2 linked regions of the Oryzias latipes genome follow. The protein of the gene in region 1 interacts with the protein of each later gene in a pairwise test. Links are inferred from orthologs where the notes say so. Each region holds a gene or a part of one and is shown on either strand. Other genes may lie near its edges.

The links.
Region 2: the proteins of rnf41 (region 1) and asb6 interact in binary tests that used the Homo sapiens proteins (3 or more experiments, as listed by UniProt). The link is inferred for Oryzias latipes from reciprocal best matches to the Homo sapiens genes RNF41 and ASB6.

The regions. Positions count from the first base shown.
Region 1 is NC_019865.2:22,245,515-22,249,714, reverse strand, and holds the start of rnf41 (E3 ubiquitin-protein ligase NRDP1), read left to right. Parts: upstream 1-1,396; 5' UTR 1,397-1,671; intron 1,672-3,347; 5' UTR 3,348-3,367; coding exon 3,368-3,457; intron 3,458-4,200. UniProt on the Homo sapiens protein: Acts as E3 ubiquitin-protein ligase and regulates the degradation of target proteins. Polyubiquitinates MYD88. Negatively regulates MYD88-dependent production of pro-inflammatory cytokines.
Region 2 is NC_019867.2:19,701,718-19,706,215, forward strand, and holds the start of asb6 (ankyrin repeat and SOCS box protein 6), read right to left. Parts: upstream 2,872-4,498; 5' UTR 2,753-2,871; intron 2,386-2,752; 5' UTR 2,352-2,385; coding exon 2,242-2,351; intron 2,114-2,241; coding exon 1,938-2,113; intron 758-1,937; coding exon 651-757; intron 570-650; coding exon 461-569; intron 373-460; coding exon 286-372; intron 180-285; coding exon 1-179. UniProt on the Homo sapiens protein: Probable substrate-recognition component of a SCF-like ECS (Elongin-Cullin-SOCS-box protein) E3 ubiquitin-protein ligase complex which mediates the ubiquitination and subsequent proteasomal degradation of target proteins.

The DNA.
Region 1 (4,200 bases):
TAATACAATGTATACATAAAAAAATGACAATTTCAAGCAGCCTTTAATGTGTTTTTTATTTTTTAACTCTTGTTCTGAGATGTAGGTACTCCCAGTTGCTGCTAACAACTGATTGACCTACTTTGGGTTGGCCTATGGAATAGGGCAACTACAGAGTGGTGTTTTACAAAACTAAATCCCAGTATTTGTTGAAGATAATTTCTTTTTCCATTTCCAAATTGAAGGCTAAGATTATTACTTTATAACAATAAATGTCAGAGATGGGCTAAAAAAGTCAATGTCCCAAGAAGACAGCCTAAGGACACCTTTTCTTCTCATTTGCACTATTTTTTTTTTTTTTTTTTTTTACAGATTTGCAGTTGATGTTTGCAGGGCAATAAGACCAGCAGTTGTCTTGGCAAACAGCTAATCACAATTAAGAAAAATATGAGATTCTGCAACCAGAGATAATTCTCCACAGGATTTAACCTGTAAAGATGGCCAAACCGCCGCTCACTGTAGATGGATGTTACTTTCTGAATTTGGAAGTGGGAAGAGTCGAATACCTTGCTGACAATTCTGCCTTCAAGTCAATCAAAGTGTTAAATTTAGGGAACAATTTTGGGTGTGATTTTTATTTTTTTATGCAGGAGTGACTAATGCAGCAACAATGTTGGACTTGCAACAAACGCTGGATGAAAAATGGGACGCCATTACACAGGAGTGTGTAACCAAACTGGGGACCGGTGGCGACTGAGGCTGTTGTAGCTGACTACTGAGGTTCCTGTTTATTAAATTAATTGTTTTCTGTCTTTTGACATTTCAATCATTCAAATCACCAGCAGCAGAATTTAGAAAAATGTTCATGGTCTGGAACCCACACTCTGTATTTACAATGGCTCACATGTTCCTTTCTGCTGTTTCCTTTGGGTAAAGAATCATGAAAAGTTTTGTTAAAGTTTACTATGTATGCAGGGCATAATGTTATTAACATGATAAAAAAAATATGTCAGAAAATGTTCCATTACTTCATGAAAAAGGCAGATGAACAAAGAAAGTACAGTAACTGACATTTCCAAGATAGAAAAAAGTTTAAAAACAAAAAGAAATATCTTCAATTATTTCTATCAAATTAAACTACACAAAACAAAATAAAAATAATATACTGTAAAAACTAAAATATTTCCTGGGAAAAAAGTTTTTATTGTGTGTCAAAATCCTTAGAATGTAATCGCTTTCTGGTTTTCTAAAAACATGCCTAAATACATCTGGGTGGTCATTTTAAAGTATAACTGTTTCTCTATATGGTTAAATAAAGGTTAAATTAACACATAAAAAACGTAATCGGTCCTCGACAGCACGAAGACTATGGAATAGACCAATTTACAAACAAGAATAGGGGACAGCGGCAAAAATCTATTCCGTTTTTCAATCTCATTTCGAACACATCTTTCATAACATATATAACAGGCTAAAGGAAAAGTGATCATTAAACCCCATTGGAATATTATCAACTGTTTGATTTGAAGAACAGAATGACATAGACCTTCAGAACCTGTGGTAGAGTCCTCCTCTTCCTGCCAACGTTCAAGTGTAGGATGTAGCAAGACGTGGCTAGCACATTGCTAGCGAAGGTACAACGTTTTTAAACATTTGTAAACCTGACAAGGACCTGTTTTGCTTCATGCCTAAGTAAGTATAGTAGTGAATTTTATTTTTCTCATAGTGTTTTTTATTAAAGTCGCTTTCATAAATATTTGTGCTATCTGAGATCCGTCGGGTTAGCTTGAGTGCTAACATTCATGAAAACCACTGTTTTGGTAGATGCTAACCCTATACCTATATTTGACATAAGTCAGTTCCTAATAACCCGTGACATGTGTTAATTTTTCTTTCTGAAGAAACACTAAATTTGTTATTTACTTTTATGTGTTTGTGTAAAATAGTTTAACATTATATATTAGTAAACTGTCAAAGGGAAAAGAGCTCCACGTAGCTAACACTAGCTTTAGCGGTACGCTAACTTTTGCTAAAGCTATCGTTTAATGATGCTAAAATCGAATTGTCAGGTGAATCTAACTCGAACCGAATTGGTGTCAGTATCCTATTTGGAAAGTACTCAGATATTGAAATCCAATCCTCAGATTTTAACCCAGTATAAATGTGGATGCCGATGAGATGCGGCTGAAAAATAACACAACTTCGGCTCAAGGGCACCGCTTTTTTATGCTGCGCATCAGCAGAACTGTTATCACGTAGGCTATTTTTTTTTGTCTCGAATAGTTTGTCTTTTCATATATGGTTAAATAAAGCTCTTAAACCCCTTATATTATCTGTTCTTGACACAGTAATTCTGGGAAAGAGTTGATTTTCTGGGGGTTCTTTTAAATCACAGCTATTTAAATATGTCAGCAAACATGGGAATTTATTTCAATGCTTTTTGTCCCAAAAAGCTAAATTAAACAAATAACAAACAACTTTACATCAAGTTTTTGATTAACATTGGTCTTTATTTATTTATTTGCCAGATTTTAGCATTAACGAGCAAATAGCTGTATAGGTATAGGTATAGTTTTACTTTCTTTAAAAAAAAAATATATATAGAGAGAGAGAGAGATAGATATATATATAGAGAGAGATATTTAAGAGGTACTAAGCATTTTTTTAACTAAAGTAACTCATGCAGAGAAATAATGTTTTCACCCTTTTCTCCTTTTTGCAAGTTTGGTAATTTTATTGTATGAATGGCATGGAAAAATATGAACACAATGCTTTTTAAGTAGTCCAAAACCACAAAGCTTCTTGTTGAAGATTTTTTTTCCCATGAAACTGTTGTGCTTTTCATTTTAGTAGCTCAGATGACTAACCTCAACAAGGGTGATGGACACATTTTTGCACAGATTTGGGCTCAAACAGTTTAATTACTTGCTGTTGTAATTTTCTTCAGCTTGCTGACTGATGTTTTCAGACTTCTTGTTCTTAGTTAAATCCCTGTGAGACCTTGACTAAAGCAGTTTTATGCGGTCACATGAAGTAGATGTTTTTTTTGTTGTACAAAATAAATCCATTTGTTTATGTTTTTAAACAATTGTGTAAAGGGTAAAATCTCAGTATGCCCTACTTTTATACATCCATTTCAGCACTTATTTTATGTAAATGAAGATATTACTAAATGATTTGAAAGTCTAAAGTCATTGAAATTACATATAATTAATCATTCCCATTTAAATGCTGAAATTTAAAGTGTAAAATTGTATTAATTGACATGTATTAATACAATTGTGTTGTTTCCTTCTTTGTGCATCACAACCGTTTGAAGTACTGACATTTTACTGTTTGTTTGTGTGCTACCTGTTGTTGATGCTCAGGAGGTTGTGGGTAGTGTACCATGGGGTACGATGTTACGAGGTTCCAGGGTGAGGTGGATGAAGACCTCCTCTGTCCTATTTGCAGTGGAGTGTTGGAAGAACCAGTGCAGGCAAGTTTACTTTTACAAGGAATTGGATATACAGTGATCCCTTGCTATAACGCGGTTTGCTTTTCACGGTTTCGCTACTTCACGGATTTGCATGGTGCATTGTGTTCTGCATTCTGATTGGCTAAAAAGTCACTCCGCTTCTTCTCTACCTGTGCGTCAATAACGTTGCAGTTTAATATGTGCACGTACGTAAATCAGCTTGCCAAATTTTCATTACTACGTGCAAATTCTCTTGATGGTGGCAAGTCGGTGTATAAGGATCTTTTTGCAAAGCAGAAAAAAGAGCGACAACAACTGCCTATCACTATGTTCTTCTCCCGAACAAACACAGCTGCACCGCGGGCTTCAAAAGAAGAAAACACTGCAGAGCTGAGTCAGGATGCAGCGGCTCAGTCTGAAGAGCAGTGAAATACACCTGAGTCACTATTTGTCCCACTGTACTTTGTATTTTTTTCATAATCATTTTAAATTTTCTCCCGTTTAATCCAATACTCGGGTCGCGGTGGGCGGGGCTAATCTCCGCGATTTGAAGCCTTCTGTTCACATTCATTAAAATTATTATTTGACAGTACAGTACAGAGTTATTTGTTGAAAAAAAGGTTTCTAAAGTACTTTTATTTGTGAAACAAATGCTTGAGCCTGTAAATTGGTTTGTTCTTTCTTTTCAATGTATAATAGAGTATTTAATTGTATAATAATAGTTTAAAAAAAATAAAGGTTTCTACTTCACGGATTTTGCCTAT
Region 2 (4,498 bases), on another chromosome or scaffold:
CTCACTCAGACAGCTGCTGGGGTCCACGCCGTGAGCTAGCAGTAGCCGGGTGACTTTCAAGCAGAAGCCGCCAATCTCAGCAGCGTCCTCCACACTGGCATCCAGAGCCTCTTTGACCAGAAACACCAAAGATGATTCAACGGTTTCTCCATCGACTGTTGCAGCGCTAACATCAGAACCTTTAAGGAAAACGTTTTACAATCAATTCTAAAATACCACTGGCACAATTTGAACAGTTGAAGCAAGGAAGCAAGATGAAAAAGATCAGAATGATTTCCTTCTTACCCCTCTCAAGTAGCAGCTGTATGTTCTCGATGTTGTGCACAGTAAGTCCATCGCTGCTCGCTAATGCATGTAGCAGCGGCGTTTTCCCTTTCGATTTGAGAGGAAAGCAACCCTTTTTAGAATTAAAAGGGCACAGATGGATATTGTGGAATGACGTCGGCCGATTTAAACGCACCGTGCTTGTCTCTAGCGTTCACAGCAGCACCGAGGTCCAATAAGGTGAGCAGACAGGGCAGCCTCTCCGACTCCTCACTCGCTAAATCTAAGGGACTGCTCTCGTGAATCTGAAAAGGACATGCAGGATTGTATATTCCCATATCCAGAACAATTGAGAAATGTAGAAGAAAAATTGGTTAAGTTCTCACTCGGTCCCTCTTTTCGATGTCTGCTCCGTGTCCAGCAAGCAGCCTCACCATATTTGGCCGGTTCCTCAACACAGCTATGTGCAGTGGGTTGTAATAGGACACTGGGTCTTGAAAACAAAACAAAAAAAGTTCACATTCATTGATTACAGCGTTTCCTTGTTTACTGTGGGGTTACGTTCTAAAAATAACCCGCGATAGGTAAATCCGCGAAGTAGGATTCCAGATGTTTAACGGCTGTAAAACCCCTCCCTCACTACACACCGTATACATTTTCTCAGACAGACAGGAACATTTTTACTCTTTTCTCTTGTTTAAACTCACAAAATGAATCCAGTGTTATAGAATGAAAAGGTTCATATAAAACTGGCAAACTGCCCACATTCTGTACAGGAGACACAAGAAGGAGATTGACTGACACAAGGCCTTTAGCCAATCAGAACAGTGAACACAATGTCCTGGGGAGAAGAAAAAAAAAGAACAAAAAAAAGTTCAAAATTGCATTGAAAAAATGATTAATGTTTTCAAATGTTGTTAAATTGCTGTGGCAGTTAAAACATGAGAATATTAGATAACATTTCTGAAAACTGTGATCCAAAACCAAAAACAGAAATGAAATAAAAAAAATCCTACATCAACTGTAATAATATTTACTTTAAAACAGCTGTCAAGAAAACATAGTTTCAATTTAAATGCAAAAGAACAGCAAAAACATGATCCGTTTTGAAAACTAACTTACTGCAGCAACTTTATTCATGTTAAACATGAATGAAGCTGTTTCTGCAGGAATTCACTGAGTACATAGGAGAGGAAGTGTGCATCCAAAACCAGTAGAGGTCACCACAGCAGAGACTGACGACAGCTTTGATCAATCCAGTGACAAACACTCATCTTCTCACTGAAATGTCCAATTACTCAACGGCCTAGAGGTGGACTGTCAGCCCCTGAGGGCGGAGCTTAACACTCAGCATCACTGGGAGGGTCAAATGTCAAAAGGTTCCTGAGCGCAGCTAAGAATGTAGCTCACCGGTTCTTCAGGGGACAGGTTCAAAAGGAAGAACAAGCAACACGCACACACGTGTAGGTCAACTGGAGTTGCTTTCACTTAAATTAATACTAGTTTAATACTAATTTGCCAATTTTACAAAATGAATCATCATTAAAATTAGCCCAAAACTGGATTTACAAATGAATGAGATTTCTAACATGACATAAATGGAGGAAAATCATTTAGGCAATAATTACATGGATTTCCACTGGGGAGAAACGTGACCAAATCTGAATATTTACCTTCAAAATTGACATCAGCTCCATAGCGTAGGAGGATTTTGGCAGCATAAGCGAATCCCTGCTCTGCCACCTTAAAAAGTGCATAACTGATGCCTTCAACAAACATCTCTGACTGGGACTCCTGCTCCAGAAGCTCCACTAAAGAGCTGCATCTTCTGGGCTCATCATCGGGACTCCTAACAAGGCAAATAAGAAAGAAAAGGTCTCAATCAAACCTACAGGGCCTTTTTTTTCCCCTCATGATGAGGGAAAAATCAACCATCAATCATCGACCATCTGCTAAATATTGGTTTGGCAAACGTACCAGTTTTCGGGATGCCTGTTGTCTTCCTCCAAACCAATTACGCGCATGACAGCATCTACCAGTGGCTGATATTCATAGATGATTCTCCGAAATCCATGGAGAAAAGGCATGGCTCTTCCGGTCCGGTCTCAGACACGTCTGATTCTAACGCAGGAAAAACGTGTTAGAGACTTTCAAGGTAAGAAAAACGATATTTCGTTCATACAGCACTGTGTAGCCCTAAATTGTTGATATTACATTTTTTCTTCTACTGTTCTTTTTTTTCCAAATATCGTTACACACGATGTAGCCAATCAGAGTTAGCGGCAACTATGATCTATCTCGTTTTTTTTTTTTTTTCGTTTTAAAATTTAAGAGCAGAAACAGAACGTCGTGAGAGTCACGTATGGTTCTAGAACAAATCCTACAAATTACTGCACGATAGACAAAACTGAACATAAGATGAAGTGAGAAGAATTGCTTAGAAAAAAGAAAAACTTGTTCGAATCTTAGCAATTTCACAGCTACTCACAACAGAGTTCCCTCTTCACAACAGGAAGTTGGCCGGCGCTTGATTAATTCCCACTGAAACCACTAGACGCACAATAGTTCCTAGGAAACTGTCCGTTGGGAAAAAATGTGTTTGTGAGAAAAAGAAAAACTTTTTTTTAATGTAATGCCGTTCTTTTTTTTTTTTTTTTTTTTTTTTTTTTTTAATAAGAGTGAGCTAAATTGTACGACGGAGTATTAGGGCCACAAAAAAAAAAAAAAAAAAAAATAGAGCCACCAAAAAAAAAAAAAAAGTAAAATTACGAGATTTTATCTCGTAAATTTAGGAGATAAAAACTCGTAAATTTAGGAGATAAAAACTCGTAAATTTAGGAGAAAAAACTCGTAATTTTAGGAGATTACAGTGGAAGTGAGCATGCAGAGCAGCAGGTGAACGCCGTGCAGCCGCAGAGAAGACCGACTATACTTTGTTGAACAGGTGAGCTGAATGTTTATTGATAACGTTCCAAATGTCTGGAAGGTCATTTGTTTGATTTCCGATTCATTAAAGTTTTATTTATTGATGGTTGGTTTGCAGGATCTCTGCAGCCCGATGAAGCCGTCGTCGGTGTCCCTGCAGCTGTTTGCTTGAATCCTTTCTTCCTCCACCAAAGACAAGACTCTACGTCTGTGTGACGCTTCCGTCACACAAAAGGAGGAGCACTTTTTTTGGCATTTTCAACGTTCCAAAGCCAATATAAAACACTATTTTCATTCCTCTTTATTGTTTTATGCTGAAACGGGACATTTCATCTGCAGGAGGGGGCGTTTGTAAGACTGTTTACTTCCGCATTGGTGTTGGGATGACAGGTTCATGACGTAATGAGACAAATGAACTTCAGGATATGGGAATGAAAAGGAGAATAAAGGCTGCAGCGATTGTCTACACCCAAACGTGTCTCTGAGCTCCTTATTTTACATATTAAACTCCGCTTTACTGACACTGAACCCCGGAAAGACTGCTACACGGAAACTAATCTGATTTTGAGTCGCCAAAAGGTTCAGAATCTCTTTGTTTTACACCTATAATAATCCGGAAATGAAGCTTCACAAAAGGCTCCACATACTTCATCTTCAAGCTAGGTTCCGATAAACGGACAACTTCGGTGTTTTTTCCTTAATCTACGACTTTTTTCTCGTAAATTTATGAGATTTTAAGTCGTAAATTTATGAGATAAAAAGTCGTAAAATTACGAGTTTTTATCTCCTAAATTTACGAGATAAAATCTCGTAATTTTACTTTTTTTTTTGGGTGGCTCTAATTTTTTTTTTTTTGGTGGCCCTAATACTCCGTCGTAAAATTGCAAGATATGTAAAAAGAAAATAGCATATTACCTCTTTTATTTGAAAGCATTTGTAAAACTGTAATTTGTAATTCGTTGGCTAATCATAAATCAAAAGTCTAAATAATGTTTTTGATTTGATTCTAAATAACCCAAGTTGGGCTGTTTTTAATCCAACTCCAAGGTTTAAAAAAGACAAAATTTTTGCAATGTTGTTTTACTTCGAGTAAATAAAACAAAAATTGGGTTAAAAACGAAACCATTGTAACCAAACAAGTAAGTAGTGCTCCAAAAGTAAAACAAAAATATATTACTAACATTAATAACCCAACATTTAGGTTAAAATTAATCTAAGTGTTAGACTTCAAGACATATGTTTGTATTTGAAATGCAAACTCCAGCAAACACTGTAAAAAATATTCAACAAATACTTTTAAAAATCTGTA